2 linked regions of the Astyanax mexicanus genome follow. The protein of the gene in region 1 purifies or fractionates together with the protein of each later gene. This does not show direct contact. Links are inferred from orthologs where the notes say so. Each region holds a gene or a part of one and is shown in the gene's direction. Other genes may lie near its edges.

Region 1 (16,679 bases):
TGTCTTAGACCGATTTATTGTCTCAAACACATCTTTGAATGTCAAACCCAAAGGTTTTCAGCCTTCAGGAGAAATAATGGGATCAGCCCCAATGTTCCAATTCTTGAGTAGGGGACTGTACTTAAAATCACTTTAACCACTTTGTTTAAATACATTACATTTATTAGTCCTACATAAACCCTAAAAAACCATGCTGGCATTAGAGGAGTTACTACTGAAGTACTGCAACAACAAATTATCCTTACCGGATAGTGTCGAGAAGAATGTCTATGAAGAAATTGTAGCTCTCAGCAGGAATGTTTCCTTTTGCAAGAAAGACCTTGTTGTAACTACCTTCCATCAAGTACTGGAAAAGAAACCAGACACAATAAGTTACCACAGGCAAAAGAGTATACAGAATAGAAATGGGACTGGCCCAATCCAATATTGATTCAGCCTCGGTAAATAAATAATTCCTTGCTGCTTTGACTAAATAAGATTTTTTTTTTTTTTTTTTTTAGATATTTCAGTGTAGAAATGAAATAAAGAAAGACTTGTTACTCGCACTGAATTACACCATTTAGTCTGTTTAATCAGCATCTGCCACGATTTCATGATTGTTTATGCTAAAAAAGCTGTAATGACTAAGCTAGTTAGTGAAATTAGCTGTTTCAAGTAAAATGTTGCTTGTTTAAATGTATTTTAGTCTGGGAATGCCGAAAAGCAACACTGTTGTAGTGTATGTATTTTCTAAAAATACACTAAACTTCAGCTAAGAGTAAAGAGATTATATGTATATATATATGTTATTTTATCCTTTTTTTCAATTACCAGTAACTGTCTTTAGTGGAAAATAGTGGATTTCACAGCCTTTTGGTAAATTTACACCCTATGGAGATTCTGTTTAAAAAAAAATACTCTAAAATGCATTTAAATTCAGTGATTTCATCTATATTTTTCATCTGTACTTAAGTCTATTTCAGCATCGGCATCAAGCACAACACAAACAATATTTGTGATAACATAAAAAAGTAAATAAATAAAAACATTAAGTAAAATAAAAAAAAGAAAGATGTCTTAAATGTGTATTAGAATTAAATGGAAAAAAATGTGGATCAGCCTATCATAATTACAACATGTGTACTGACCCACATCTGTCACAGTTCTTCACACTCACCTGCTCTAATGAGACTGGATGTCTAATGTACACATTGGTCTGAATGTCCTTAGCACTGAGTCTCTCCAATTCTGTGTGAAACTCAGACACTCTGTTCTGGGACAGCAGGAAGAGCAGGTTGAGACCCAGCAACTGGTGCATGTACGCTGACTCTGGTAATTCATCCCTGTTTAAGATATGATGACCAACTGTTATGAACCAATAGAAAATTCTATCATGCCAAAGGTTTACTGTTTCTTATTAAACACCACCAACCACAAATTACAATTCTACATACTGGTATGCCAGCAAGGGTAATAGAAAATAAAGGAGTTAAAACTTTCTGATATGAAAGTAAAAATTACTTGTAATCAAAATAGTAACACTTCAGCTGAGCCATGTATCGTTCAAAAGAGGGGATGTCTTTCTTTAGGATGCTCCACAGTGCGCCAATCTCCAGCACATCTCCTGCAAAACACAACAGCTGAGTGTTGAAATTCACCATTGCTAAAAATACATATATTTTTATATGTCTTCCAGGAATATACTCACGGGCCAAGATCAGCTGCTGTTTGGTGAGTTTGGTCCCAGTGGTTGGCAAAAAATTAAGTTCCAAAAGAGATATCTGCAAATCAAATATTTAAAAAGCCTTTAAAGGGTGATGGTGATCAATGATCACTTAACATTTGGTGAAAGCAAATGGAAGAAAAACAACACTAGAACTCAGGGATCTGTATAACAGTGAAAGTAAGACCTTTTCTACACACTCACAGGATTGGGACAGCTGTCTAACATCAAGAAAACCAACATTAATCAGTGAGGCTACCCATCAAAAACGACTTCAATTCGCAAGAGATCATAAAAATACAAGAAGAGAAAGAGAAGCAGCTGAAGTGATGCACCCAACATGCTTAGTGCCTACCTTACAAGCCAGTGGGGGCATTGCAATAATCTGGGGTAGCTGAAGGTGGTCAGGTCTAGGTTCAGCAAAGTTATTTATGTGCCAAATGTGTCACCTGACTACCTAAATATACTGACCTACCAGGTTATTCCACTAATGTATTTTTCTTCCCTAATGGCACAGGCATTTTCCAAGATGACAATGACAGGATTCATTGGGCTCAGATTATTCAGGCAGCATCAGACATCATTTTTACACACGGATTGTCTAAAGTGCTGAACTCCATTGAGAATCTTTGAGATGCTGGAGGAGACTTTGCGCAATGGTGCAAATATGAATGTTGTGACATTGTAGAAATAATAAAAGCTTAATTCTATATATATACACTGCTCAAAAAAATAAAGGGAACACTCAAATAACACATCCTAGATCTGAATGAATGAAATATTCTCATTGAATACTTTGTTCTGTACAAAGTTGAATGTGCTGACAACAAAATCACACAAAAATCATCAATGGAAATAAAATTTATTAACCAATGGAGGCCTGGATTTGGAGCCACACACAAAATTAGAGTGAAAAAACACACTACAGGCTGATCCAACTTTAATGTAATGTCCTTAAAACAAGTCAAAATGAGGCTCAGTATTGTGTGTGGCCTACACGTGCCTGTATGACCTCCCTACAACGCCTGGGCATGCTCCTGATGAGGTGGCAGATGGTCTCCTGAGGGATCTCCTCCCAGACCTGGACTAAAGCATCCGCCAACTTCTGGACAGTCTGTGGTGCAACGTGAGGTTGGTGGATGGAGCGAGACATGATGTCCCAGATGTGCTCAATCGGATTCAGGTCTGGGGAACGGGCGGGCCAGTCCATAGCTTCAATGCCTTCATCTTGCAGGAACTGCTGACACACTCCAGCCACATGAGGTCTAGCATTGTCCTGCATTAGGAGGAACCCAGGGCCAACCGCACCAGCATATGGTCTCACAAGGGGTCTGAGGATCTCATCTCGGTACCTAATGGCAGTCAGGCTACCTCTGGTGAGCACATGGAGGGCTGTCAGCCCTCCAAAGAAATGCCACCCCACACCATTACTGACCCACTGCCAAACCGGTCATGCTGAAGGATGTTGCAGGCAGCAGACCGCTCTCCACGGCGTCTCCAGACTCTGTCACGTCTGTCATGTGCTCAGTATGAACCTGCTTTCATCTGTGAAGAGCACAAGGCGCCAGTGGCGAATTTGCCAATCCTGGTGTTCTCTGGCAAATGCCAAGCGTCCTGCACGGTGTTGGGCTGTGAGCACAACCCCCATCTGTGGACGTCGGGCCCTCATACCATCCTCATGGAGTCGGTTTCTAACCGTTTGTGCAGACACATGCACATTTGTGGCCTGCTGGAGGTCATTTTGCAGGGCTCTGGCAGTGCTCCTCCTGTTCCTTCTTGCACAAAGGCGGAGGTAGCGGTCCTGCTGCTCGGTTGTTGCCCTCCTACGGCCTCCTCCACGTCTCCTGGTGTACTGGCCTGTCTCCTGGTAGCGCCTCCAGCCTCTAGACACTACGCTGACAGACACAGCAAACCTTCTTGCCACAGCTCGCATTGATGTGCCATCCTGGATGAGCTGCACTACCTGAGCCACTTGTGTGGGTTGTAGAGTCCGTCTCATGCTACCACGAGTGTGAAAGAACCACCAACATTCAAAACTGACCAAAACATCAGCCAGACAGCATAGGTTCTGAGACGTGGTCTGTGGTCCCCACCTGCAGAACCACTCCTTTATTGAGTGTGTCTTGCTAATTTCCACCTGTTGTCTATTCCATTTGCACAACAGCACGTGAAATTGTCAATCAGTGTTGCTTCCTAAGTGGACAGTTTAATTTCACAGAAGTTTGATTTACTTGGAGTTATATTGTGTTATTTGAGTGTTCCCTTTATTTTTTTGAGCAGTGTATATATATATATATATATATATATATATATATATATATATATATATATATATATATATTTTTTTTTTTTTTTTTTTTGGCAATACAGTGTGTATAACATAACACATACACACACATATATATATATATATATATATATATATATATATATATATATATATATATATATATATATATATACATATACACACGTGTGTGAGTGAGTGTATGTTACACACATACACACACATTACTCAGCCAAATGTCGCCATACATATCCAGCTGTATTAGACTAATAATTACGAACTAAGCTAATGTTAAAATGCTGATATAAGACTTAATTAGTTGATTGGGTTCTGATTGTGTTGTTCCAGTGGTCAGGTCTAAATATCAATTATTTAACTATAAGTTAGCTCAAACAGAGCGGCGTTCATTATCTAGCTAATTTGTTAACTCAGCTGACTGCACAGCTTGTTAGTAACACTACATTCATTATATTAAAAAAACACCGCATTATTTCACAGAAATAACATATAAATATAGGAGGTGCTCCATCAATCAGCTGTTTATAACTAATTAACTGAATGTATATCTCAGATAAACACAAACAGACAGAGCTCGGTGTTTAGCCCTTGGCTAATCGCTAACTGCTAATGCTGCGCGAGCCGCGGCTCCGCTCCCCGAAAACAGTAATAAACGCGGGTCTCGTTGATCTATCCGGCTAAACAGAGAACTGCCCGCTTTACCTTCAGCTTGGTGAGGATCTCTCCGCACTTGTTGAGGTTCGGACTCTTCTTGTTCCACTCGGTTTTCAGGGTTTCATACAGACCCGCGGTCTCTCTCAGAACAGCCGCCATGGTGATTCTGCAAAACCCACGACACCGGCCGCCTGGAATACGGCCTGCTACTGTCGTAAAATGCTGTTGCTATGGACACGAGAGGTCGTTCCCAGACAGCTAGAGAGGAAAAGACCCACTTGACGGGTTTGTAACTAACTTAATGGACAGTAGAGGTGTTCTGTTAAATCACAAAGAAATTGTTGACCAATTTGATTTGGATTGTACTCACAAAGAATATCTGAAATTGTGTAAAGCCATTCCTGTGGCTTTGATCCATCTGATACAAAACATTTTACCGCACTCTAGTGTTCCTACCCAAATTCACAAAAGGGGACGGCAACTTAACAGATAAGAAGTGTGATAATATTGTTCTCACAACTGCCTTTAAATCTAAATTGTTTAAGCACTATGACAAAAGAATATCTGCAGCGGTAGATCCAGTCATTGCTGCAAATCTCCACATCTTAAGTCATCTCTACACATCTTAAGTCCGTATGTGCCCAAAAAATATCCTCACATATTGCCAAACTCCTTTTGTTTTGAATGCTTGCAATTTTTTTCCCTTTTGCCCTACACTGTTGTATGTGCCTTTTTCTATTTTCCCTACTTTAATGTACTTTGCACCAAGATTTTGTATTCAATGTTATAAAATAAAAATATTTATATACAAAAAACAGTATAGAGCAGTGAATCTGGGATTTTTTTTGAGTAAGAGGCCACAATATATACAGAGGGACCAAGTATTATTTTAGCAGTCACACCATGATCAAACACTTTAATTTAATTAAAAAAAAATGCATTGTGAAATCTATAGAGTTAAATTTACACAAAACATTAAATCTGCCATCAAAAATAATTTTAAGAATCAAAAGGAAAGTGTATGTTGAAAATTAAAAACAGAAAATATATATATCAAATATGTTTTTTTTTAAATATACTTGGTTACTTTATTATTTTATAGTTATTTGAATGTGGCTTTTGCCAGTCTTTGCGTTGTTTAATTACCCAAATGTGTCATATCATAGTAAACTGCTGTCTCATGACTTAACAATGTTATTTTTCCCATAATTTCCCAAATTAAAAGATAAACTCACTTGAGAATCTGATTCCTTTTTTTTGTCCACCAGAGGGCGCCCCCGATTAAGTCCAAAATGAATGAGTACATATAGAGCAACTGTGCAAGTTTATTAATGTTTAATAACTTTTATACAGAATATTTGTTCAACAAAGAACAATGTTTAATGCATTTAAACACCAGTTGTTATTAAACAAGCTCTGGCTGTAACTCATCAGCTTACTGCAGCAGTAACGCTAACAACTTTCTGCCTAAAATAATTTTGCTGTAGAAAAACTGAAAAATATAGTTTTTTTTTTAGCAAAATACATTATTCTACTTTACAAAATTAAAAGAATATCTATGCAAAGTGGATTAACTATTTTAAATTCTAATTTTTAGCCGTTTAGCTCCATTCACCCCCCATTCATTTTAGACTCTCGCAGGGCCTGTCTAGCAGTTCACAGGTGAAAGGATAAAGTGGGTAGGCTCAAAGTGGGTTTTAAATACTGCCATGCTAAAAGAAATCCAGCTGGTCTAGAATAGGCATTATAATTGGAATATTATTCATAGGCATTTTCTTCATGAAGAACTACCAGTTCCACACCATGTATAGAAGAGAAAAAAAATTACGATTAATGTTTTTGCGTGACAGCTACATTATACAATGAATAATAAGTGTGTCTCACTTCACTTCAGTTTTCTGCGTTAAGAATTTTTTGTTTGCACCTATTCATCAAAACAAATTCATCAGACTAGCATCTGGTTTTGTCCAGTCCAGTAAACCCCAACCAGATGATGGACAACCTGCGGGTAAAAACAACCTGGTCCGTTTTTTTAAGTTCCAGAGCTCAGAGAAATAATATTTTGCTTTCTTACATAGAAAAAAGGACCACACTCTCATTTAAAATCAGTGGACTCATCCTTTTCTCCTCTTAATATCTTCCGTTCCTCACCCAATCAGGGAACACTCAGATATTTAGGATAACTCCAGCCTCATGAATTATTTTTGATGAATAAAGTGATAGTGGGTAAATAACCCCAACACATCAATTGCTGTAAAAATATATATATATCCTGGCTTCCTGTTATGAGATTCTGACATCCTGATTGGCTGATATATTCTTCTAAAGATGATTACATTTATCACTTTCTGAACCTTCAATAACCCTGTTAATATGAATGACTTCAAGGGTTATTTTTTTCTAACACAAAATATTCAGATACAGGTGATCCAGTTATAAGGTAACGTGTTATAAGGTAACGTAAACAATAAATGTTTTTGTCCATGAACCTCAAAAAAGAACCAGACCACTTACAGAATGCATTAATTGAGTAGACGAGAGTAACAACATCATTTATAATTATACAATTATGCATGTTCTTTTCTGTGCAGCGTGTTAAAATATATGTTTTTTTTTGTTTTTTTTTTTTGCGTTAGACCACATCTCTACTATAGACTATTTTATGTAGAAATGTTCTGTGGCGTAAAATAGCTTATATATGCCTTTAAAAGTCGTCCCTGCAATCTGTTTTAAATTTTGCAGTTTAATTATGGAAGAAAAAAATCCAAAACAAAATAATTCGCCGCTCAGGAACCGAAAGAGTTGACTCTTTTTGGTGAGGTGAGTCGATTGATATGAATCACAAAAAAGATCCATCAGTAGCCCATTTATTTATTTATTTTTCAAAGCCGTGTGCCAAAATAAACTCTCGCAGGCCACACCCAACCTGTACACAACTTCAAACTCGACCTATCACAGGACATAAACAAAACTATAGGACACGCCCCCTTTTAATCCCGTCACTCGGTACCCATCCGCTCGGGTCCTCCGTTCTTCACGACAAAACGGGATATAAATAATAAACGGGATCAGATCCCGCCCTCGGTGCGAGATGTTTAAAAACAGGTCCAATCGCGCTCCGCAGTGTTTCAGCAAAAATAGCTCTCCATGCCATAATGGGTGCCGGACCCGGGTCGGAGCCGCGCGCTCAAACGCCTGCTGATTATTCTGACCGCTCCACTTTAATGGGGTTGTTTTGTGCACGCGCGGCCAAGAACCCCGTTTTCATGAATTTAGCAGCTGCGCTTAAGCGTATACGTAACAAATGAACGAAGAGATCGTTTAATAAACGTGTAGCAGCAACAGCTTCAGGCTTGAATCCGAGCCTGGGTTATTAGGCTACGCCTTCACACAATAAAAAATGCTGTTTTAAAATGAGGGCACGAGCTCTCTGAGCACCGAGCACACATAGAGTGATAATTTTTAAACATCAGGGCGGGCTGTATCCGCGACCTCGGTCCTACAGCTGATTGGTTTATGAACAGGCGAACGCGCCGGCCCCCCGTTTCCTGCTTGTGCGCTCTGTGCTTGGGTCCTGACTGGGAGCCCGTGCAGGGCCGTTCCGGAGACCCCGCGCTGCCTGCACCTCTACCGTCTCGGGTGAGTTTGTTACAATGTAGCATTTTCTCTTTTAATCTCAAAAACATCTGCAAAGCTGCAACATCTGCATGCTGCACACCGACCCCCGAACCCGCCCGAAGCCCCCCAGTCCGCCCGGTCCTGCACGAGCCGGAGAACGGGTGGATTTAACAGCGAATTCCCAAGCACCCCCCCCCCTCCCGTTCCCCCGTTCCCCCCGGTCCCGGACTGTTCCCACATAAACTCAGCTTTAGCTCCGAGGATAAAGATACCAGGGTGCGCAGCTCGCCTCGGCCCGCCGAATCCACAGCGCCGCGGTCCGAGCTCCGTGTGGGCCTCGCGGGGCGGCCGTGTAACACACGTACACGCAGGCGGGTCCAGTTATTGTAGTCAGATTTATCTGCTGCGTCTGAACCTGGTAGCAGCGCCGAACTGCCTTTGCTGCTGCTAACAGTGCTAACAGGCTACAGCTGCTGCTGCTAGTGCTAACTGGAACCGCTGCAGAACCGCGAGCGAGGAGAAACCCCGCGCCCTGCGAACCCGCCTCTCCACCGGCAGCTCTCCCCCGGTTCCCCGGGCCGAGCGGAGCGCTCCCCGCGGGCCGCTGTTTCGGCGCTGTTTCTAGCGGAGTTGTGGTTCCGCACATAGCTAAACCCGAGCTGCGGAGCTCCGGAACCTCCGTCCATGTCCTGAACCCTCAGCAGTGGGATGCTTTTAGGTGCGTTACAGGGGGGCTGGGCTGGGCTCGGTTCGGTTCTGCTCGGTAATGGAGAGTTTATATATGTTTCTGCCCTCAGTTCCACACCGTGTTTGCAGTGCTTGGGTCAAGTTTACCCTGGACCCTAGAGAACTAACTAACTAACCTGTGGGACTGAGAGCAGAACACTGAGCTCGAGCTGATGTTGGATTTAGCACAGGGCTTTTAGGCTTTAATGGTTTAAAGGTTTAAAGGGGTTTAAAATGATTTTAAGGGTCAATAAAGTTTCTGTGCGCGTGTTTCTGGAGGTTTGTTTTGAGTGCGGGTTTGTTATGAGTGATGGTGAAAGAGCGCGCTTTCCCTCCTCCAGCTCTTCTTACCAGTGCGACCAGTCTCATACACATACTGGACTACAGGAGCTTATTTATTTATTTTAGGAGTATTTATCAGACTGAACTGATGGCCTTGTTTTGATCTCCTTCTTAAATCTGTGTTTTGATTGGCTCAGCTTGAAATAATACTTGGAATGCAATTTTGTTTACCCAAAAGTAAATACAGTGTGATTTACTCAAACGTATCAATACTTTTATCTTTAGTCATGAACATAAAGTCGGTATGAAGTTGATCTGTAAGTTCTGTAAGCTGTTCTGTGGTCTATGGTGTTTTTTATTTATATGTTAGGTGAGGAGTGAGGATAGGCACTGTTTGTGAGCTACAGGTAAATTTTCTCTATAGTTATCACTTAAACCTATAACTTTAGATATCATTTAGATTTTTATGTTTAATATTTTTTTAACAGCAACATTGTACAGTGTTATTTTAAGATATTCAGGTCTGGGTTTGATACCTCTATGCTCATGGATTAACATTTTGTAAATCTGGTTATCATTTGAAATCTGACATTTTAATGTTTGGTACTTTATTTGCGTTTGTTGATATGTGATAGCTCTTCCTATAAAACTGTAAAATAGCATGTGGTATTTTTTAACACAAATTAGTAAAAAAACGTTATTAATCCTGTTTAAAAGGGTTTTAATGTTGATATACATCATTAATAATTTTTGTAATAGTTAACTATACATTGCTTTTATATTGGAAAAGTTTGTATTGTTAAACACTAAACAACGTTTGTGATTTTTAGTTGACATGGATGATGAAGATGGCAGGTGCTTGCTAGATGTTATATGGTAAGTGTACCGTTCTTTTCACCCAACCAAATCTAGAGAATTGCATGCTAAATATTGAATTATTGGATCAACATGGTGGTATATTTTGGTCTTCTGATTTGATTTTTTTCATTTTGCAGTGACCCTCAAGCTCTCAACGACTTTCTTCATGGATCAGAAACACAAGTGAGTAGTTCCTGGTGATGCATCATATTAGAAAGTGTTGGGATGTTAGATTGATACAGTCCTATCAAAAGCCTCTCTTTGAAAACACACACGCACATAAACACTACTCTGACGTTTGTACATCACGTTAGCTAAAATTGCTCAGCTTGTCCAGCTCCTCTCCGGTGATGGTTTCTGTCTATTGAATGGTTTGTTCTGCTGATTTCCTGTCAACTAAAGCAGCACCTCCTACCTCATCCCTCATCTTTCCTCTTTTGTTAAAACACAAATACGACGTACTAATCTAATGTTTCCTGTCTTTTGACTCCTGTTTTACCTGTTTAACTGTCCCGTTGCTCACTTGCGCACAAACTGTGTGCTGTGCTTTTGTGTTCTGATGGATCTGGACACTATCTTCACTTTGCTTTTCCTTTGCCTTTCCACCTTTGGTCCTCTGCCCTTCTGCATCTTCTCCCTGACCCTTCTGTCTCCTTGTCTGTGGCGTGGCGGTTTGTCTATCCTATCTGGGGTATGTCTGTCTGTAGCTGGACACTGACGACCTTTTGGATGGCTCGAGTGACCCGTCCAGCTCTTTCTTCTCTGGTACTGGGGTGAGTATTGTCCCCCATTTTTCCCCACCCTTTCGTGTACATCCCATTACGTAGCATGCTTTCTCCGCTCCCGACCATCAGATCCGGTGCAGAAGTACTGGCAAGTGTCAGAGGTGAATCAATAAAGCTGTCAGGTCCTTTGGTGTATTGGAGGTCTACCATCCCATAGCCATCCCTACCATTCCCCTTCACCCTTCTCACCTTTTGCATGAAACAGTGTTCACTTGCAAACCATGGCTTTTCTTTCTTCTCTAGGGACACGTTCCTGAAGTCCAGCCACCGGCTCAGCTATCGACAAGCGAGCCATCTGGGCTGCCCAGAGTCAGCGTCGATTTGGACTTCCTGGAGGACGATGACATCCTCGGAGGCTCACCAGGAGGAGGCGGAGATGGTGGGAGCAATGGCGTTGACTCAAATCACGAACCATGTGACATTCTGCAACAGAGTCTGGCGGAAGCTAACATTACAGAACAGAGCCTTCAAGAGGCGGAAGCTGAGCTTGATCTTAGCTCTTTCGGGCTAACTAATTTGACACAGGTAGTCCAGCCTTTGCCTGATACCAGTAGTTTGCCTGGGGTGGGCATTGGAGGAGCTACACAGATCTTTCCCAGCCAAGGTTCCACTACCACTCCCTCCACTGCGACCACAGATATGCTTGGTTCAGTTCTGGCTCACCCGGGCCTGCAGATTCAACCACAGGTTATGAACAAGGCCATCAGTGTCCAGCCATTCATGCAGCCTGTCGGGCTCGGAAATGTAACCCTTCAACCCATTTCAAGCCTTCAGACTCTACCAAATGGAAGCCAGTCGGGACATTTGGGCATTGGACAGATTCAGGTTGTGGGCCAACCCACTGTAATGACTATCAATCCATCTGGCCAGCAGATCCTGACTAAACCCATGGGTAGTTATCAGCTGCATCAACCTGGGCCAGAGACTGCAGGTTCTGGAGCCCAAACTGGACTCGGAGGTTCTGTGCTTAGCTCTGGAGGGGGACTTTTGATTCAGGGAGGCAAGGCTACACTAGGGTCCCCATCTTTGAATGGCCCTGCTGTCTGTGTTAGCACCACAAACACCAACAGCAGCGGCACTGCAATGGCCACACCAAGTGGCATAGTGGGATTTAGTGGTGCTGCCCTAAGCACAGGGATCGGATCTCAAACTCAACCTCAGCCACAGAGCCAAATTATGCAGAATGTCATCATCCAGCGAACACCAACTCCAATACAACCCAAACCTCCGCAAGGTGGCACCATACCACCCAAACTCTTTAAACAACAGCCACAGCAACAACAACAACTTCCAACCCCACATGTATTACAGAATGATGCCAGTAAGGCTCTTGGAGTGCAGCAGGTTCCAGTGTCTGCTGCTCAGAATGTAGCCTTCCTAACTGGCAAGCCCGGTTCAAACGTTGTCTTGAGTACCCAGGCCACCACCCAGGGGGCACAGTTCCCCCAGGCTCTGTTTAAGTCGCAGGTTGCTCCGGCATCAGGCAAACCCCTTAGTGTCCATTTACTAAATCAACAGGGCAGCATAGTCATTCCCTCTCAGGCTGTCTTGCAAGGTCAGAACCATCAGTTTCTTCTCCCTCAGCTTCAGGCTGGAGGACAGATCCTGGCTCAGCATCCTGGGGGTCACATTATCACCAGTTCGGGACCAAGTGGACAGATAATCGCTGCTAATCAGATTTTAACAGCTAATCAGAACATCAATCTTAGCCAGGTTTTGGCCTCACAGGGCCATCCTGGTGCTGCCCACATTCTCTCTGGGCCCATCCAGCTCCAGCCTGGACAGATGGGCCACCCTACACTCTTCCAGATGCCTGTCTCCTTAGCCCAGACACAGAACCAAGCGCATCCAGTGACGGGACACGTTCAGACGGTTATACAGGGCATGCCTATCCAAAACTCCTTGTCAATAGAGGGACTAAGCCCGGCAGTCAGTTTGCAGCCAACCCTTCAACAGCAGGCTACTGGCATTCCCACCAACAGCAGCACTGGAGCAGCAGCAATGGCACAGTGCCAGCCTGGGGAGAGCATCACTGTGCTGGGTAGCTCAACTGAGCAGGCTGCCCAACCGCAACCCCAAACCTCCATCCTGACTGTACAGACGGCTCCATCTGTTTCGGCGCCAGCATCGGTTCCCTCCTCTTCAGCTCCATCCTCTACAGTGGTGACATCTGCGCCCTCAGTGACGACGCTGGGTTTGGGCCACCAGGCCCAGCACAGTCCAGGAAAGGTGTTGTTCACACCACCAGGCCCCAGTATGATCCTCGGTCAAGAGTCCATGCAGATGTTCCTGCAGCAGGTCAGTGTGTGTTTTTTTTCCTCTGTTTTGTATTTGTAGTGTGTAGTATTCATTAAACTAACGTAAACTGCAGATAATAAAACTAACCTGTGATCAGGACCACATTCAGTAGTCAGATATAGCAGAAACGTAGCATTCCGTGCAGCTGTACAGGTCTGCACCTGCTTTGGGTATGTATTTTTACACTGTAAAAACCCTGCTGAATGTGCTCTGCTTTGGGTTACTGTTGTAAGTGTCCCCTCCTGAACTGACCAATCTGCTCGTGTCAGGACCAGCAGCATCAAGCAGGGAAAGACCCGCCCGCCTCTGTGGGCGTACCTGCATCTGTTATCGTCAGCGGCGGCGGCAGCTCTGGTCCCGCCCCTGCAGGCCATGACAACCCGTTAGCTGAGACTCGCCCGGGGCAGAGTCCGAGCCCCTCCCTCGGCCCCGCTCACATGGCAGCATTGGTTAACAAGGTAGATGAGCTTGTGCTCTGCACTAAGCCCCACCCACTTGTTGCTGGCACGGTCACATACTGGAACACCCTCTCTCCTAGCCAAGCTATACCCTTCCCTCCACACATACACACTCCCACACACACTCTATCTTGACCTTCCTGTCTGCCAGACCTTTCTGCTCAACACCAGATCCCCTGCTCCGTCGCTGTGCCACACTCCTGCTGCTTCTGTTATTTTATAATCTTTAGTATTTGTTTCCTCTCCTCACGTCTGCGCTTATTTTGCTAATGTGGAGTGGGTATCGAGTAATTCAAAGAATGGTGCCTTATGTGCTTTTTCACAGCCTCTTTTTTTCTATGTTAAAAGATGTATTACTGTTTGGGAAATGACCTCATGTTTAACATTCAGTTTGTATGTAAGAACACCTGTAGAGGATCTCTCCGAGGTATTTTAGATTCATTTTCAAAACTGTAAAAGCTTCATAAACATGTGCACACAATTATATATTTTTTAGCATGCAGATGAGTATACTGAATGTTCTTTCAACGAATGTCTGTATTTCTTTAATAAATGCACTGAAATATCACAGAAGTCAGATATTGAAGTCTAATAATTAAAATCTGAGCCCTGAGAAATGCAACGTCCTCCCCATTTTCTTCTTTCCAAAAAAACTGACACTAAAAAACGTGATCCATATGATTTGTGATTGATTGTGCCTTCACAGATTTATAGAATAGTTTACAAATCAAACATGAGTTCATTCACCACAGTCTTTTACTTTTGTTTTTTTTTTGTTTGCTTTTGTTGGAATGTTCTTCTTAAATAACGTTTTCATGCCCAGTACCCAATCACGCTTGGTACATTAGTAGTATTAATCAGTCTGTGCTTTGATTTTGTGCACAATATGGTTTTCTGTTTTTTTTTTATTGTTAATGGTAGACAGGAACCTTAAAAATGATTGATAGCTCGTTCACTTTGTGTGAATGAATAGTCAGTTGTGGTATTTGTTTTGGAAGAACACCTTGCCTCCTTTATTAACAGCTAATTTATACATCTTTAATTATACTACTCATCCCCCCCCCCCCCCCCCCACAATGAAACCCCACGTCTTGTCCCGTAAGAGCAAGGTAAAAGTTGAGCCTTCAGTCATGACTGCTTGCTTTGGTCCTGCTGTGGATTAAAACTGTTCCTCTTTTATTTTTGTAACATGTTTAACACAAGTCCTGTGGGTTTCTCGTGGTGTTCAATCTTTGTAATCTAAAATGTGAACCTCCCCTGTCCTCCTGCCACCGCTGCAACAACCCCCCCCCCCCCCCCTTTCCTCTCAAGTGCAGATCATGTTGTTTTACATCATAATATACATTTAAACTTGTCTGTACAGTTTTAAATATTCTGTACAATAAAGATGTTTTTCTGTTTTATAGCTGATGATTTTCAAGTTTTTCTTCGAAGTTAATTCTGGCATATTTCTGCTTGCTGTTGTTGCTGCTTGTTGTTGCCTCCCCCAATCTTTGATGTTATTTTAAATCCAGAAAATGAGCTGAAAGCAGAGTGGTGAAGTAATCTCTTATACCTCTTCCTTCCTGATCTCCAGGTTCCATCCTCGGCACATCAGCAGACTCTAAAACTCCAAAGCGCCTCCCCCTCTCAGTCTGGACCCTCCAACAGCGCCACGCCAACCCTGTCAGAGAGCCCACAGCCATCTCAGGCTTCTCCTCTAACACTGGGCCAGCAGATTCAGTCTCCTCATCCTCCCCCCCAGTCCCGACCTCCCTCTCAGCCCCAGGCGCAGCCCCCCTCCCAGTCCCAGACCCCTACTAGGGCATGCACACCTTCCTCTCTACCTCCACTCTTTATAATACACAATCAGATAGGGGGCTCTCCGCAGGGGCCTCAGCTCTCGGCCCAGTCAGCTCAGGCCCAAAGTCAGCAGATCCAAGTGCAGCTGCCCCAGGTTCTGCCCCAGCCAGTCCCACAGCCTGTAGTTCTTCAACAGGAGCAGTCCCCCTCCTCCTGCTCCCCAAAGCCTCCCCAGGTGCCTGCCCAGGTGCTTTCCCAGGCCCCTCCCACTTTCCAGTTTGCACCCACTGCAATAGGCACCTCCACTGGGGCAGTGTTGAAGCAACAGGTGACTGTCCCAGGTTTGAATCCTGAACAGCAGCATCATTTACAGCTGATTAACGCCCAAATACAGACCATGTCCTCCATCGCCCAGCCCTCTCCGCAGCAGAAGCAGCTATTGGACAAGCTCCACCAGGTTAGTCTTGTTAAAGTTTTGCTCTTCTCAGGAAGAATCTTCAGTGAGTCAAATTGCTCCTAGTAAGACATGCATAGGTTTGTGTAGAGAAGATCGATCTGTCGAGGGACGTGATAAAAGACAGGAGGGTGGGGTTTGAGAGTGGTCTGTTCATTTCTCTGCTAATTTAAAACTTTAAAACAGTTACTGAGAGCGCAGAGAAAGCAGCATAAAAATCTTTAGAACTCCAGATTAAACATCAGTAAAAACTCCCACACTTTTTGCTCTGGTTTTACCTGATGTATTGAGAGGACAGCGATTCCCCCTGTGTCTGTCCTGCGATGGACACAGGTTTGTTTAGGTCCTGCTCCTACTGTTTCTGTAAAGGCTCTGGATACAATGTGACTCTGACCAGGAAGTTTTTTTGGGCATCTAAACATAATACTCACTTTATCGTCTGTGTTGTAAGTCAAGTAGCCACTTCATCTGTCATTTTTAAACCGGGCATGATGGAATCCAGTTTGTATAGTTGGACTGTTGTTGCATTTGCTCACATCTGCTTTGGTTGCCATTAGGGATCAAACAAAAATGTTAGTAGACTTTCTGATGTCACTGTTTCCTGATAGTAAAAAAACAATGTGATCTAAGTCATCAAAGTATCAATAAATCCTTCAGAATATAGCTTGGACATGATTTGAAAAATATTTAATTTGATGTGAATTTTTCTAGTGAAGGCTATAGAAAATCTTTCATCTGTTTCCAAAAACGAAGCCTG
Region 2 (17,274 bases), on another chromosome or scaffold:
GCATATTGTTATGTGTCTGCATACTAAGGTACACAGACACATCATCCATGCCTATACAATAAAAGCATTTTAAAAAATGTAGGCAGGACTCGTATGTTTCATTACTATAAAGGAACATTTCAGCTATCAATGGATATAATATGGTGTAAAAGTGTATAATAAAAGTGTTTACATTATAATAAAAAAAACACTTTTGTTGCATTATTTTTGTTATTTACAGCCTGCAACATAGAAGCCATGCACTTAATCATATACAGCTCTGGAAAAAAATAAGAGACTAAGAGACCACTTAATGATGATGTTTTTCCTTGATTTGACCAAATTAAAAACCGCTGGAATATAATCAAGAGAAAGATGGATGATCACAAGCCATCAAACCAAGCTGAACTACTTGAATTTTTGCACCAGGAGTAAAGGCATAAAGTTTTCCAAAAGGAGTGTGTAAGACTGGTGGAGGAGAACATGCCAAGATGCATTAAAACTGTGACTAACAGGATTATTCTACCAAATATTGTTTTTTGAACTCTTAAAACTTTATAAATATTAACTTGTTTTCTTTGCATTATTCGAGGTCTGAAAGCTCTGCATCTTTTTGTTTTTTCAGCCATTTCTCATTTTCTGCAAATAAATGCTCTAAATGACAATATTTTCATTTAGAATTTGGGAGAAATGCGTTCTGTAGTTTATAGAATAAAACAACAATGTTTATTTTACTCAAACATAAACCTATTTATAGCAAAATTAGAAAAAAATGATTCAGAAACTGAAGTGATCTCTTGTTTTTTTCAGAGCTGTATGTAAATGAATATATGATCAAGGGTGTACGATAGGGCCCTTTATCTCTCAATAAGCTGTGTTTAAAAATTTATGTTTGAACAACGACTGTTTTACCTGTATGTGAGCAGCTATATGGCACATACTGTCTTGTGTGTCGCTACAGAAAACGAATAGGCAGTCTAGTGTTGGGTGTTTTGAAAAACCAAGTGTTGCTAATGAACGAGTAGATATAGCCTATGATGCAAACTGTGCATCAGAGTCATCAAAGACATGCCCTGCAGCACAACGTATGCTGAAGCAGGCAAAGACTGTTTCAAGATATGCAGCAGTACACGACAAGATAAACATATTCCATCTTTTTAAAAGAGTTCACCAGTAGTGCAATCTTCAGTAGATGTGAATATAATAAACACATTTTGGTAACTAAATTACAAGGAACACAACAAGTTAAGATAAATTATTAAAACTTATCATATTGACTTGCAAATATGATGAATTTGACTTTGATTAGTTTGTAGTCTGACAGAATGTGTCATAATCCCTATGAGGTCAATAATAAGACGGCACACTGAACCCAATTCTTGTTCCCCCACCCTTAACTCACCATCATTGTGGTCTCTGGGTGGACTCTTGTCCACTGGGTTCACCTTTACTTGGGTATTCAGTTATATTTGATATACATGTAATTCTGGACTGCCTGTCTACATTGGTGTTGGCCATTAGAACAAGTTACCTTTTTTTTTGTATGCAAAGAGTGATTTTTATGCTGGCTTGAAAACTACAATGCAGTAAATTTGCAGAGTCTCTGCTGTCAGTAGTTTATTGCTCTTTTACAGTGAGATTCTTTACAATGTAAAGCTATTTTTTATGTGGATATATTGTGCTGAAATTAATTGGTAACGAAGACCTCTAACATTTAAAGTACATATGGTTATTGTAAAGAATAATTACTGTTCTATAATGGATGTATATATGTCAAAACGTACTCTTAAAAAGCTTTAATACTCTGTAATTAATCCACAGTATTTTTTTTTATCATATTCTTATAATAGAGTTATATGCTGTAATCTTTTTCCACAGTAATTTTTATCCGCCTGTAACCACAGGACCCGAGTTTAGAAAAGCGAAAGTAAAACATTTTTTTGTGCTTAGACTTATTTATTCATCTGTAATTGTTTTTTTTTTATCATTTTTATTACCTTTGATTTATGACCTTTTCTTATCTATGATTTTATGATTCCTATTAATTTCTTATTTTTATGTGTTTTTGTTTTTTATCTTATTTTAAAGTATCTTGTACAGTATATCTTAATAAAATGCTGGGTCTTTTTATTTATTTATATTTTTCCTTGACATCCGTTCCTTACGTATTGGCTCAGCTACATTGTAAATGAGGGCCACCATCAATAAAGGTTGATTGAGAACATTAGAACACATATTACACAAGATAAGATGTTTAAAATGAAACTCTCTGAATCAGGACACTTATTTTCATGCAATTTGGCTCTGTACACCAGTCAGAAAATTCTGGATTGAGGTTGTTCGATACCTTTCAGACTTAACAGATATTAATATACGACTTTTACCTTCTTTATGCTTACTCGGAGATGATATGGCTTTGGAACCGTTAGAATTATGCAAAAAGAAAAAAAAAATCCCAATATTGGGATTTAAAACTTTAGCTAAAAAAACTATTTTATTAAATTGGCAGTCAAACAAAACATTACAAGATTAAAGTGGTTAAATCTTTTAATAGACTACATCTATTAAAAATCAAAAATTGTTTCACACACTGAACACAATCAACAGCAGTTTAGTATTATTTGTACGGTGGCCGAGAAAGCCCAGCGCAGTGCAAATTGAAAAGCACAAAACACATCCATCAAAATTACAACACAGGCGCAGCAAAAAGAAAAACGCGCTGCAAACAGAACCACAACACAACAGAAGTGAGTCACAACACAACAGAATTTTCCCGGGGGACCTTAAAAGATGCTGTAACAGCTGTGTACAAAGGACCATAAGTGGCAAACAAGCTTCTGAAAAGTAAGTTATGATTATTACCTGTGATTACCACGGTTGTTTGCATATTATTAAAAGTTCTGCTTCACAAAACGCCTTGTTTGCCACTTATTGTCCTTTGTACACATAGTGAAGTCCGAGACGTTACTGAAGACGCAGCTTAGCTGGTACAGCATCTTTTAAGGTCCCCCGGGAAAATTCCGTTGTGTTGTGACTCACTTCCATTGTGTTGTGGTTCTATTTGCAGCGCGTTTTTCTATTTGCAGCGCGTTTTTCTATTTGCAGCGCGTTTTTCTATTTGCTGCGCCTGTGTTGTAATTTTGATGGATGTGTTTTGTGCTTTTGCAGCGCTTTTCAATTTGCACTGCGTTGGGCTTTCTCGGCCACCGTATATTTGGCCCCATTATGAAATCTTGTAATGGCTAGGGGCCGGCCGAGTGCTTCTTCGGCCGCCAGGGGGAGGTCTTGAGCCCCTAATCAGACCCGATCCTCCACCCGTTTTCGTTGCTCCGCCCCATTCGGCGGAGCCTTATAAGGCGATTAAAGCGGCCGCGTCCCAATCCGCTCGCTGGTTCAGCTGTTAGAGCATTGGGCTGCGGCCGCGACAGCCTGGGTTTAATAAGGACTTACATATATATATATATATATATATATATATATATATATATATATATATATATATATATATATATATATATAAATAAAGATATATATATATATATATATATATATATATATATATATATATATATATATATAAATATACACACATAATATAATTGTATAATATTATATATCCTATTAATATATATATTAACGATTATATATTATTATTATTATTATTATTATTATTATTATTATTTCCCTTTTTTCTTGAGTTTACCTGCTTTGAGATCTACTGTTCTGCCACTGGGTTCTACAACTCTCTGGGCTGGAGTGCCACCTATCTGTAGCACTCCAACCCATTACAAATCTATAGTAGTAAAGGAACCGATGGCACAGCTATTTAATTAAAATTTGAGCATAGTAATTAAAAAGACATAACCCCCAAATATTCTATTATTATTGTTTTTTTCTTTTTTTTCCTTTTTTCTGTCTGTTGTTTTTTTTCTCCCTTTCTCTCTTTCTATTAATATATGTCCTCCCTTAGGAATAAATCATTGTTGCAGAGTGAAATAAAGTTTTAGACCTCCAAAGAGGGTGGTGGGTAAAATAAATAAATAAATAAAGGTTGATTGATTTATTGATTGATTAAATGAAGATCGTTATATGGACAAGACAAGCTGTGTGTGTTTGTGCGAATTTTCACACCTATGTGTCACCAGTGGGTGCAATTTTATGAGCGCTGTCCAAAAACATTTGGACATAAAGTATGCCTGTCTGTAATATTTTAAGAATTAAAAAAATGTATCAAAACTATTGAAAAAATAAAACAATATATCAGGAATCAAGCTGTGTATGTGTGTCCAATTTGGTGTGATAACTTAAGAAGCTTTTAAGCCTCTTTGTAGACCTTTCAGACATCTGAATCTATCAATCACCCCTGTGAACTAATCTGACTCGGACACCAGGTGAGTCAGCATTACATAATTACATACATAATTAAAACAAATATAGGTTTCACTGCATATTTACATACTATATACTAAATCTATCTATATCTCAGTTAAGTCAAAACTATACGATAGATCTGTCTCACTGTTTTGGTTGATTGACAGGCTGTTTAAATTGAAATCATTTTTATATGATAATCCTCCAATTGAAGGTCATTACTCTGAAATTCTGGAATAGACGACTGGAAGCAATGACCATGAGCATGAACAATTCAGTCGATGGCGTCCGAGTTTTATCCATTAATGCAGTATTGAGAGACTTAACGTGTGTGTATAATTTATAGAAATGTACTTCATCCAGACTTTACGCCTGCAGTCATGTTCTTCTGTGGTGGAGAGCATAATAAAGATGCTGCTTCTGAGCAGAATTCAGCGGACATCAGGATTCCTTTCAGTTACTCTGAGCAGCAATCCCGCTAAAACATTTCTCTGAATGCACAAGACCTCAAACTGCTCAGTGATTACTCATATGGGCCTCAGACAGAGTTATCAAGTAACTATGTACAAATACTTTGTACTTAAGTAAGTAGAAATGTTGGCTATCTATACTTTAATGGAGTAATTATTATTTTACAGTCGACTTTTTGCTTCTACTTCATACTTTTTCACACACTTATTTAAAAATAGCCTTGTTACTTCTTTTTAATTTCAGCTTGTTTTCATTCCGGCTTCTCATTGTTCAATAAAACCGCAATCCAGATAAATCTCTCCATCCAGATAGAGTATAGAGAATCTGATTGTGATTGGATGTAGAGAAGTATAAACATATACCATTCCGACTCCCTATTGGTTTATACCATCACAGCTGCATACGTCACGTCCCCCCCCCCTCCCCCCCACACACACACACACACAATCCAGCAAGAACATAGCAGACGTATGTAGCCTAGTATGAAGATGATCCGTGCAGAGACGCAGAGTCTCCCTGAAGCTGCGGGAGTCTCCCGCATTTCAGTAGTGGCCCCCTGATGCCCGCAAGTCACATATAATCTCCCGGAATTCAGAACGAGTGCCCCAAGAGCGCACTGCACACAAACGCACACACAGGCGACAGACTTTTTTCTCCAATCGCGTGTGGGAAGGAGAGAGAGAAAACAGAGAGGATTCTCATTGGCCTGTTCTCTGCAAAGAGTCTGTGAGACAGCCAATCAGTTTTTAGTGTGGGCAGGCAGTGTTTTCCCCCCTCCCGGACGGGATTTGTTCAGTGAGTGTGAGAAAGCAGATCATGGCGGAGGCAATATTAATAATTATTGTAATATGATATGAAATATTTTTGATGTTGTGCAATTTTTTTGTGATATTGTAACTGTCATTTTTTGTCAAATAAAGGCTTTTTTTCAAAAAAAAGAAAAAAAGGAAAGCAGAGGCAGGGCCTTCCAAAAAGAAAAAAAGATAAAACTCATTTCATTTCACCTCTGAATACTCTAAATTTAATTTAAAAAACGTAAAATTAATTAATATAAAAGTAAAGTTTCGTTATCCTTTGGTGTGTGTGCGCAAGTTTTTTTTGCTTGTTTGTTTGTTTGTTTTTTTTTGGGGGGGGGGATGGGGGGGGGGGGGGGGTAACCTCCCTGAAATCAACTTTTGCAACTTGGGATGTCTGGAACTAGAGAACTCCAGACAAACTCCAGTCTAACTAAATTTCTTTAATATATTTACATTCTACTAATATACATTAATTTTCAATGGCATTTTTACACCTTACATTACTTTAACGTTTATACTTTAAGTAGTTTTGAAAGCAGTACTTTTACATTTTTACTTACAGAGTAAGGAGCTTGAGTTGATACTTTAACTTTAACTACAGAAGTATTTTAAATCCTACTATCTAAACTCTATACTTAAAGAGTGGATCATTTGGCCTCACATGGGTGAAGCGTGGGCTGGGTGGGTTCCAGGTAGGTATAGGATCTGTTGTTACTGGGTCCCAGTTGAGCATTCCAATTGGGTCCCACTGTTAGAGCCCACCTTAATTTTACATGGGTCTCATCTAGGCCCCAAATGCAGTGTATAACCCAGATATAGCCCATATTTAAACTCTCTTGGACCCATCATTGACATCCTGATGTGTGCCCAACATGGGCCCCATGGACTACATTTTTTGGGATCCAGTTGGGCTTTCCATACAGGCCCCACATGAGCATCGTATTTTGGAAATAATCTCAAACATTACTGACAAATCTATCCTGAAAATCCTAAAAATGCCAAGATGTAAAAAACAAGCCTAAAATGTTGTTTGTCTGCTCCAGAGATTTCTATTCTTTTGGCAGTATTCACTGCAAGTATTAGAAGGGGTGTTCACAATCATTTGCACAAATTGTGTATGGTATAAATATTCGCAATATAATTATGCATGATATAAATATTTTACTGAACTGTTTTCAAGAACTTTTTAAGGAAAATTTTAAAGCATTTCACGTCAGCCGCTCCACATGACGCCTTGGATGGTGAAATCCAACTGTTTCACTGTTTTCCATCTTTCCAAATTGTTGCACTTTGTTCTTGAGGATGATATGGAATGCAACTAGCCGCTGGTCAAAAGAATACTGATGAAGCTATTAACATCTTCAGATTCTTTGAAGTTTTGACTGATCGATCGCAGGGGTTACACTGTTACAACCCGCTACATCATTCCTCTCAGCAGGGCTCTGTCCAACCACCTTAAACAATTCTCACCCAAATACGACTTCAACTAACTCAAGGCTTCATTTACAAAGAGCTCTTACACAAATACTTCAAAGCCCAGACTGACCAGTGAAATTCAGCAGCACGCAGAAAAACAGGCAGCCTATTAAACCACCTGTCAGCAAAACTGGACTGAGCATTCTGTCTGTAGTCGTGCATCCTCTCTCCCTTCATCCTACCAGCAAATAAACAGAAATGCAGCTCTACACTTTTAAAAAGTTAGGTCTAAAAGTGTTCTTTGAGGTGAAGACTCCTTAGACTCCATAGACTCCTTTCAATGTATAGATCTAAACCTGTAAAATGAATCATGTTATCATTGTTACTATATGAGTACATTAGACAATAAAAAAAGCTTCAGTAATATTGTGAGTAAAAGCAAAAGTAAATTGCATTTCTCACGTCCAGTAACAGAAGGAGCACTTTGTGCTGCAGACTGTCTCACGTGACTTGACTTATTAGACTGGTGGCAGAGTGAGGTAGAGTAAAGCAGAGCAAGGTGGAGTGACATAAAGGCAGAGTGAGGGTGATTGAGGTGGACTGAGGCAGAGTGAGGTAGAGCAAAAAAGAGTTAAATAGAGTGAGGTACAGTGAAATATGGGGAGGAGGCATGAAAATATTAAACCAGAGCAAGGTGGAGTAAAGTAGAGTGAGGTAAAATGAGTCAGATGTAGGTAGAGCAATATAGAGTGAGGTAGAGTGATATAGAGGGCGGCAGCATGAGGCAGAGAGATATAGAGTGAGGCAGAGGGAGGCAGAGTGAGATAGATTTAAATAAAAATTGTTTTAATAGTGTGTTACTCTTTAACCCTTTGAGACCCTGAGTACATTCCAATGGGCATCTTGTGTTTTCTTCTTTACTTCATATCCTTTCACATAGCTCAGATTGAGACCTGCTGTCCTTCAGAATATACATTTATCAGCCAGTCAAACATGAGTTCAGCCCCGCCCACTGCACTGGAAAACAATAAAAATATCTACACACTGAAGTAAAGCACAGCTGCATCCCACTTAATGAGGTTTATTTTATGGTTTATTTTACCACTTAGAAATGATTTGTAAAACAAACAATTATATAAAAGATATATAGAATAAGAAAAAAGATATAGTTTTACTTGTTTGTATTACTGGAAATAATTCAGGTCTGAAAGGGTTAAGAAATGGCAATTTCTCTAACCCCGCTCTTCCTTTATTTCGATTTTCCATTTTTTTTCATACTAAACTACAGTGTAATTATTTGAATTGTATTTCATCTATTAGTATGTCTACTTTTAGTATGTCTCCTCAAAGATAAATGTGCTTCTTAGAAGAATTTAAAATAGAAAACATAATCCGGTTTCTTTAACACATTTTTTTAACATTGTTATTTTCTCAAAACAATTCTGCATGTGTTCCCGAATAGCTTTAATATAGTTTTTTTTTAATATTCACCCCGTTCTTTTTCTGCAGTAAAATAACTTATTTGCATTCTGAAAATGTGAGGGCTTTGACATTTCCTACAAAAAACACTTGTGCTGGAAACTAAAGGTTTGGAGGACATGAACTGTTTGATTTGTATTTAGGAAAATATTGATTTTTAAGGAATGTTAACTTTTATTATTATTATTATTATTATTATTATTATTATTATTATTATTATTATTACTATTTATATTGACGTTAAGGGAAGTGCTAACTTCATTTTACAATTACAATCAAAATTTGTAGTAACATTTATTATTAAACATGAAAGCTTTTTATGTAATGCTTCAATAGAAATCTTCAAAATTGAAAATTGACAAAAATGCTGACCTGTTAAGGGGTTAAATATACATTGTAAAAAAAAGCAGAAAAAGAAAACACATTAAAGAAGAGGTGGAGAAGAGGTGTGTCCAGACTTTTGACTGGTCCTGTAAGTATAGCTTTGGAAACACAATTCAAAAATATGAACCACATGATTAAACTCCCGCCATCTTCAAAAAACACACAGTTCAGCCCCTGAGCACATCTAATCCAGAGGTGGCGTGACCACAATAACCAGAACTACAGCCCTTACAGCGTCCTTTAAATACTAAAATAAAACTTACTATAACGTTACACATAATTTAATTAATATAAAACTAATATTAGCAGTGTTTTTAGTGTGAGTTTTATGTTTTAATGGTAATGTAAATCCTTATAAATAGCTGGAGCTGCCTGTGGCTGCTGCTTGTGTGTCTATTAGGACTGAGTTTTGGACCAAACCATTGTGGAAGAGGTGGGGACTGCGTGACCTTGTATAAATATTTGAGTAGTTCTAACTTAATTGTTATTAAATACACACATTTTAAAATTTAACGTCATTTTAAAGGTAAATTATGCGTGGATTTCAAACATTTAACTATGTTAATGTCCGTATTTAAGCGATAACACCAAGCCGTAGTGGAGTGACCCCCCTAAAAAGGGGAGAATAGAAGAGTCCACCAGGCTGCGCTGCTGTAGATAGCTGTGTATGTGGGAGATTTTTGAAGGCGAGCTGAGAGATTTTTAGTTTTATCGTCGGATTTTCTCTTTTTTAAGAGCTATAACCATGTCGGTGGCGTTTGCGCCTCACAGACAGCGCGCTAAAGGCGATATTACACCCGCAGGAATACAGAAGGTAATTGTTTTTAATACAGAAAAGGGGTAACAAACGAAACGGTGGCAATTGGTTTCTATGGAGGGTTGTTAGCCAGGAAGGTTGCTAAGCTAATTAGCTTAGCTATAGCTAGCGTATGTCTAAATATTGTTTTTTGAATCAATGTAATCTTTATTAAAATTTTGTTTTCAAATTTCCTTCTGTTAAACAATCCAATAAACGACCACATATTCTCATTTTAGTATATTTAAATGCGCTAGCTAGTTAGCTAACCTATAGCTATTGCTTAGCTAGCTATGTAAGCTAGCTAGCAAGCTAGGTTAGCTGTACTGTTAGCAGGCTAGCTAGCTAGCGCCTTTGTTAGCTAGTTAGCCCAAAAAACATATAAACGCCTTATTTTAAGAGAAAGTCTGGTCGTGTTTTAGCGTTAATAGACTTTTTACAGTCACTCAGCGTGATAAATTAAGTGGAAAATTCCAGTAAGGTTTCAATAAATGTGCTGTGAATTCACGCTGTAGCAGAAACAGCTCATGTAGGTTAACCTAGCTGGGTTAGGTTAGCTAACTAGCTAATCTACAGCTAATATTAACGTTAATCTGATTTGTTGTCCTTTCTTTCTCTGTGTGTAATTTAACATTATATTAAACCCACAGAGGGTAAATTTGCAATTTTACAGCAGCGCAGAGGAGAGAGCAGCAGTGTCAGGAAATATACATCAACATATAATATATATATATATATAAAAGAAAATAAACATTTAACGTTATATGTACATAACGCTAATAAATAATATCCCAGACCAACTGTTTATCCAGACATAATTCTGTAATAAAAACAGTTTAAAATCCTAATTGTAACATATATGGTACAACAACAATTTAAAGTTTTGCCCTAGAAGTCATGTAAACCTATTATATAAAACGTAAAAAAAATATTAAAGCATGTAAATCGTTCACATGGTTAAAACAGACCTGTAAAAGCAAAAGCACAAGCACTAACCCAGTACACTTACATTCTGTAAATGAGTATTTGCCTTGTTTTGACAGGCAGACAAAATGCATCAGAAGTAGCAGATTCTGCTTTTCAAATGGTCTGTTATGCATAGTGCAGTGATTCTTATTTAAAGAGGAATTTTCACTCTCTGTAATATAATGTGCAGTAGGGTTAGTGTTTAAGTATTGATGGTATCCTTGATATGTTTATTGTTAATGTGTTTAAAAAATTATCACTATGAAAAAAATATCAATGTATTGTCCAGATATATATTTGTAACTTGCAGAAGGACTACACACGCAAGCAAATGTTACATTTTAACTCTCAATCAACTGTGTACAAACAAAAAAATGAAAGGCTTCTTCTGAGAAATTTGTTTTTTACATTTTTGGGGTTTCACATTTACTTAGCTAACTCATCCTTACATAGACAGATCACTGCCTTAAACCATTTTAAATGCACAGGTTATATACAATAATGGATCTATTGAAATAAAGTATAAGATAGAAGTGTATATGCCTAGAACAGTTTTAATGTTATAGCCACTAAAAAAGAGCAAGGCACACATATGAACATTAAACATTAAAACATTGTGAATTATAAAAAAAAAATCTCTGAAGAATGTTTTCATTGGTTTCACATATACCCAGGGTTTAGACAGTTCTGGGGTAGACTTTATTGTCTTATTAAATACTCTGTAAAAAGGTTTAAAAACAGAATGGTGAATGAAACACAAACTTGCTTTTATTGTTTTGTGGACAAGCTTTACCGCCCCACAACCCAATTCTGGATGGCTTTCTACACCTGAACATCTCCAGAGCTTTCCATTTCATCCAAAGAGTTTTTCAGAGCATCATATTCTACTGGCAATGCATTTATTTGAAGATTATACAAATTGTATACACAGTTAAACATGTATATCAGTAATGGTTGCACCTTAATTACTGATTAGATGGGCTGTTCAACCCCTTCTACCCATGCCTTTGCATAATCCCTGTTTGAGAATCTGACCCATAGTGTTTTGAGCATAATTGAGTCCACTCCCACTGGTTGGGTTTGCCTGCCCAGGACAGGAGGTTTGCTTCTCGCACATATAAGCTGTCTTTTCTCTCTTGAACACATGAGGTTTAGGGTTAAATCACATGGTTAGAATTAAAAAAACATGTACAGGAATGAAGACTGTGGGTAACATTTTTTGTTTAAAATTTGTTCAGAGCTTTTTCTGAGGTCAGTTTAAAATGAGTAGAATTAATTCTAAACTTTGTTTCTTTCCAGCTTCTCGATGAAAACAATCAGTTGATTCAGTGCATCATGGACTTCCAGAGCAAAGGCAAAACTGCAGAATGTTCACAGTAAGTTTGTTTTTTGTACATCTTACACCATAAAAGGTTAATGCACTGATATGTTTTTTAGTTTAGAAAAAACGTAAGTAGTTGTTGTAGGTAGGACTGCAATGTTTATTTTGTACTAGAGTTGCACGGTGTACCGAAGGTTCGATTCTTTTTCGATACTACGTCATCACAAACGATTCGGTTCTTTAGCGTTCGATGCTTTCGATACTATATAGCCCAGTCACTAGCTTCAAATGAGTCAAAATAGTAGGCGCGATTTGATTCAATTCATAAGAAAACTGATTCACACCGCAGCAGTCGGTGTGGCAGGATTCAGGTAAACTTAGTGTTCTGAACAAATGAATCGATTCACGTGTGAATCGATTCATTTGACTCGCTTGAGCGACACACGCACGCGCAAGCCAGCAGAGCAGCAGCGAGAGAGAGCAGCGGCGAGTGTAGAATGGCGACGTCTAAAATAACAGATGTCTCTCGTCCGCGACTTGTGGACAAAACGGGCGCGAGGAGTGAAGTGTGGGCAAATTTTGCTTACATCGCTGATGAAGAAGGGAATCCGACCAACACCACAAACCCAGTTTATAAACGGTGTTATAAGTCTATCCAGTGCAGAGGAGGGAACACAACCTGGCTACGCATTTAGCAGACAAGCACCCTGATCTCTACAAAGAGCTGAGAAGTCGACAGGTTAGTGGAGTTAGTCAAGATACACTCTGTCTGTAGCGTTACTAAGATTTACTAGCCCTGGCCCGCCGGCGGGCCAGAAATTTATAATATTTAATATCTGGCTGTGTTTATGAATAGTTATAGGTTCAATATAGACACCCAAAATGCCATTTTAAAGCTTAGAATCTCGGCTTTTCAGTTATCTAGCCCATTTAGCTGGATCTCCTTTCAGAAAATAAACATTTAGGGCGAAATATGCCTTGCTTCTGAAAATATGAAATCATAATTTTCATATTTCCGTTTCTCGTACGTCCATATTTGATCGAATGCGGACATGTTATACACCATTCGAACCGTCTGTCTCTCCGGATTCGCTCCGTTTTACTGTAGGATGTACGGTTCCTGAATTAGAGCTGAAAGAGCGCGTCACAGCGCGTGTTCAGAGTTAAAAGCTGCTTGTTTTTCGCTGCAGGGTTACCTCAGGTCACTCCCTCCACCCCCTCAACCCCCACCAGCGGCTCCCCCACGCTCTTACCTTCAAAACCAGACTTAAGAGAATCCATCAATCCAGTCTCCTGCAATCCCCAATTATATACAAACAGCGCATGAAATAAACTAAAAAATTATAAAAAATTATATATATAAAAAATAATATCCACTTTATCTCCTTATTAAAAGCGTAATTTTCGAGGCTGCATGTGATAACGCACGTGTGGTTAATCTGCAGTCCAAGGAGAACAAGGTTGACAGAAGACCATGTGGACACACTTGTTTTCCTGGCTAAGAACCTTAAACAGGCAAAGAAACTTCCCACAGTGTAGTTTCAGAAAAGAAGAGGTTTTAGTTTTTAGGAAGTGTTTAGATAATTATGTTATAGTTAAGGTTATAATAACGAAACTTGTTTTTTGTTCAAATGTTTCATTTTAGAATAAAAACGTTTGCTCCGATTGTTCAGTGTTCAATACAGTCCAATCAAAAATAAACATTTTATGTTCAGATATTTTTATTGTTTTTTTTCTTCCAAGTATCGTTTTGGTATCGAGAATCGTGATACTACAGTTGGTATCGGTATCGAAGTCAAAATTTTGGTATCGTGACAACCCTATTTTGTACTCTCTTTATCCTCAACAGTTACCAGCAAATGCTTCACAGAAATCTGGTGTACCTGGCCACAATAGCAGACTCCAATCAGAACATGCAGTCTCTTCTACCTGCTGTGAGTACTGACGTTGTTTTTCACTCTGCTGATGTACTTAATAAGGGAAAGCCACACAGTTTAAGTCTTAAACATCATCTAACAGTGGTCTAAGGCAGCAAAGGGGATTTAAAACACATACTCAACTGCTGTGTTTTTCATTACTGGTACTTAGGGCTCCAAACTGTGCACATTTGTTTGTGTTTATTTGTGCTTAAAAAAACGCAATTAAGACCCTGAAGGCTGTTGTTCCTAATTGGTACAGGAGAACCAGGTCTGATTTTATGTACTTTTAAGCTGAGACTGAAATCTGCATTAAATTCCTTCAGTTCACATCCAGTTCCTTTTGATTATTTGGAACATTCAGTTTTTCCCACAGAACTTTTAGAATACTTTCCATGTTTCTAGTAGTCCACTGGCAGTGCTTCTAAACCTAATATCTCTTATAGATAAGAAGCTGATTTGCCTTTTTTTTTGTTCCTACATGCTCTGGCATTGATTTGTAGGCAACCTTGAGCCTGGTAAACTAGCATGCCTCAGTTTATCATGGTTTGTAGTTGTCTGTAACAGTCTGTATTGCAATATGTTGACAATTGTGTCTTCTGTAACCTAATTTGACTTGGTTATTCGAAGTCTGATTAACAGAGTTTCTCTCTCTGCAGCCACCCACCCAGAACATGCCCATGTCGGGGGGAATGAATCAGAGCGGCCCCCCTCCACAGCCCCCCCACGGCCACAGCATGCCGTCAGACGGCCCCCCTGCTCCCCACATGCAGAACCAGATGAACGGCCAGATGCCTGGTAAGGGAGCGCTGTCCCACTCTGCAGCTCTGTCTTCATCTTGCTGTCGCTTAGCAACACTGCAGGCTCCCCTCTGGATGGGTGATGATATCACCCGTTTCTTTGTGCTGTGTGATGTTTTGGATGCACTGTTGCATCAGTTTTGTGTTTATATGGATTTTGTAAGATAAAATACACTAACTGGCCACTTTATTATAACCACACTTCTGTTTCTACACTTGTTGTCCGTTTTTATCAGCTCCTCTGGCCATATTAGAGCAGTTTGTAGTTCTACAATTAGGATCTCACTACTGCAGTGATTCTAGTTTGGGTGTTTCAGATAAAGCAGTGCTAAGGGAGTTTTAAACCGTTGCGATAGTCAGCCACATCGTAGATGTAAAGTCAGAGACAGAGGATCATCTGTTGCAGAACAGTTGATCATGTGTTGGTCATGGACATTGTTCGCAGGATATTTCTGGTTGGTGAAATATTCTCAGTGCAGGACTGATGCTTAGGTGTTTAAAAACTCCAGCAGTACTGCTGTGTCTGATGCACTCGTACCAGCAAAACACATACTACCTCCATATCAGTGTCACAGCACTGATAAGAATGACCCATCTCCCTAATAATACCTACTGTGGTAAAGGGTAAAATGAAAATAATAAAATATGCAAAGAAATGGAAGAACTACAGTTTGTAGGTGGTGTTATTAAAATGGCCTTTTGGAAAATAAATTGATTTCAGAAATAATTTGCCAACATTGACAAATAATTTATTCCCTACTCCTCCATGCAGTATTCTTTCAGCTGCGTTCAAATCAGCCTGTAATGTCGCCATAGGGTTTGACATTTTCACACCTGAAAGAGCAGAATGAGGTTCGAACCAGGGTTTATGTGTTTGTTGCATTGTATACGTTTGGCTTCTCTCTATACTTTACTTTACATTAATGGGTTTGTAGAAGGTTGTGCATCACATGGTGTTGTCAGTTTGGCAAGTTGTCTTTCCACTGTGTTGTGCCGAATTCCACATTGCTTTTAAAACTTGCTTTACATAAAGTGTCTCATTATATTGTAAAACCCTGTATGGTTTCTCTGCAGGCCCCAACCACATGCCCATGCAGGGCCCTGGTCCTAACCAGCCACCCAACATGCAGAGCGGCTCCATGAACATACCTCCCAGCAGCCATGGCTCCATGGGGGCCTACAATCACACCGTACCCGCTTCACAGGGCATCCCCAGCCAGGGACAGATGAACATGAGCCAGGGACAGCCAATGGCCAGCTATGGTCCCAGACCCAGCATGAACATGCAGCCCAACCAAGGTAATGCAGGGCTTCTCAGATGACCTGACTTTATGTTAAGTTAAGATTATTATATAAATCTGGCAGTTGTTATTTACATTGTGGCAATGTCCTGATAAATGAACTTGTAAACACACACTTTTATAATAGAGCATTTTTGCATAAATTTGCATAAAGCATATCTATTTGATTACACTTGAATAATCCTCAATTTTAAAATGTTTTTTTTTTTTTTACTGTGGTTCTCCCAAAAGCTTAAATAATGCACTTTTGAAATATCTGCAACCTGTTAGTCTTTTGTTGTTTCTTCAGGCATGTTAAATACTTTAGGATATATTTTATATAATATATATAATGTAATATAAATGACAAAGATTTACATCTTGTCTGTTTTAATAAACATTGTTTTGTCTTTAGGTCCTATAATGCACCAGCAGCCTCCCTCTCAGCAGTATAATATGCCTCCTGGTGGTGGAGGGCAACATTACCAGGGTCAGCAGAATCCAATGGGCATGATGGGCCAGGGTAACCATGTGATGGGCCAGAGGCCCATGCCTCCATACAGGCCACCTCAGCAAGGTTAGACTTTTTTTACTACCTCCATGCTCCAGCTTAGCTCTGTTGGAAAATATTATTTTTATACTTAGAATGAAGATCAGTAAGATTTGCTTCTGTTTCTGGATTACATGCGGCCCAAGTTTGTTTAACAAACTCTAAAACTGAACAATTTTCTGTTGCCAAAGTGACCCTGTATGCTGTATGTATAATACCGTACATGGATTTTAGGCAATAAAGCACAATACTATAAGCATACTATTAAAAGCTCATCAGAACAGATGCAGGTAAATGGACAGCTCACCTGGTTTCACTAATCACTGATTTAGTGGTTAAAGCTATAGATTAGATTGTTATCTAGTCAAAATGTTTTGCAATTTATTTAAAAATTCTGGTTGATACAGTACAATTTCATCAATTTCAACATCAATATGAACATTCAAAAAGTCACAGGATAATTGCCAAGATTGGCCACAACAGATGTCTGTACCTACAAACTTCTGAACAATGCATTCCTTAATTTATGTAATGCACCCTGTAATGAACGTCAGTCAAAGGCAGGAGCTGTTCATTGTTAATGAAATGCTTTATATTGCAAAATATATTGATGTTGAATTATTACACAGCCTTATTATCATGATGTAGATGTAGAGATGTTATGCCTAGTTCACACTTTACTATTTTAGCCTGTTTTACTATTTTAGCCTGTACAGCACTGTACATGCATAACTAACTTTTGATGCTT

The links.
Region 2: the proteins of bicra (region 1) and ss18 purify together in Homo sapiens (affinity purification with mass spectrometry; 3 studies listed by BioGRID and IntAct, counting the BioPlex papers as one, with this or other methods). This does not show direct contact. The link is inferred for Astyanax mexicanus from reciprocal best matches to the Homo sapiens genes BICRA and SS18.

What each region holds. Positions count from the first base shown.
Region 1 is NC_064416.1:29,310,531-29,327,209, reverse strand, and holds the start of bicra (BRD4-interacting chromatin-remodeling complex-associated protein), read left to right. Parts: upstream 1-8,490; 5' UTR 8,491-8,987; coding exon 8,988-8,997; intron 8,998-9,024; exon of another isoform or gene 9,025-9,694; intron 9,695-10,117; coding exon 10,118-10,163; intron 10,164-10,282; coding exon 10,283-10,328; intron 10,329-10,852; coding exon 10,853-10,918; intron 10,919-11,173; coding exon 11,174-13,228; intron 13,229-13,497; coding exon 13,498-13,686; intron 13,687-15,262; coding exon 15,263-15,925; intron 15,926-16,679. Other genes in the region: psmd8 (26S proteasome non-ATPase regulatory subunit 8), read right to left, coding at 246-346, 1,157-1,322, 1,501-1,603, 1,688-1,760, 4,710-4,820. UniProt on the Homo sapiens protein: Component of SWI/SNF chromatin remodeling subcomplex GBAF that carries out key enzymatic activities, changing chromatin structure by altering DNA-histone contacts within a nucleosome in an ATP-dependent manner.
Region 2 is NC_064415.1:10,637,849-10,655,122, forward strand, and holds the start of ss18 (protein SSXT), read left to right. Parts: upstream 1-9,532; 5' UTR 9,533-9,642; coding exon 9,643-9,711; intron 9,712-11,958; coding exon 11,959-12,035; intron 12,036-13,829; coding exon 13,830-13,914; intron 13,915-14,555; coding exon 14,556-14,694; intron 14,695-15,770; coding exon 15,771-15,995; intron 15,996-16,391; coding exon 16,392-16,553; intron 16,554-17,274. UniProt on the Homo sapiens protein: Appears to function synergistically with RBM14 as a transcriptional coactivator. Isoform 1 and isoform 2 function in nuclear receptor coactivation. Isoform 1 and isoform 2 function in general transcriptional coactivation.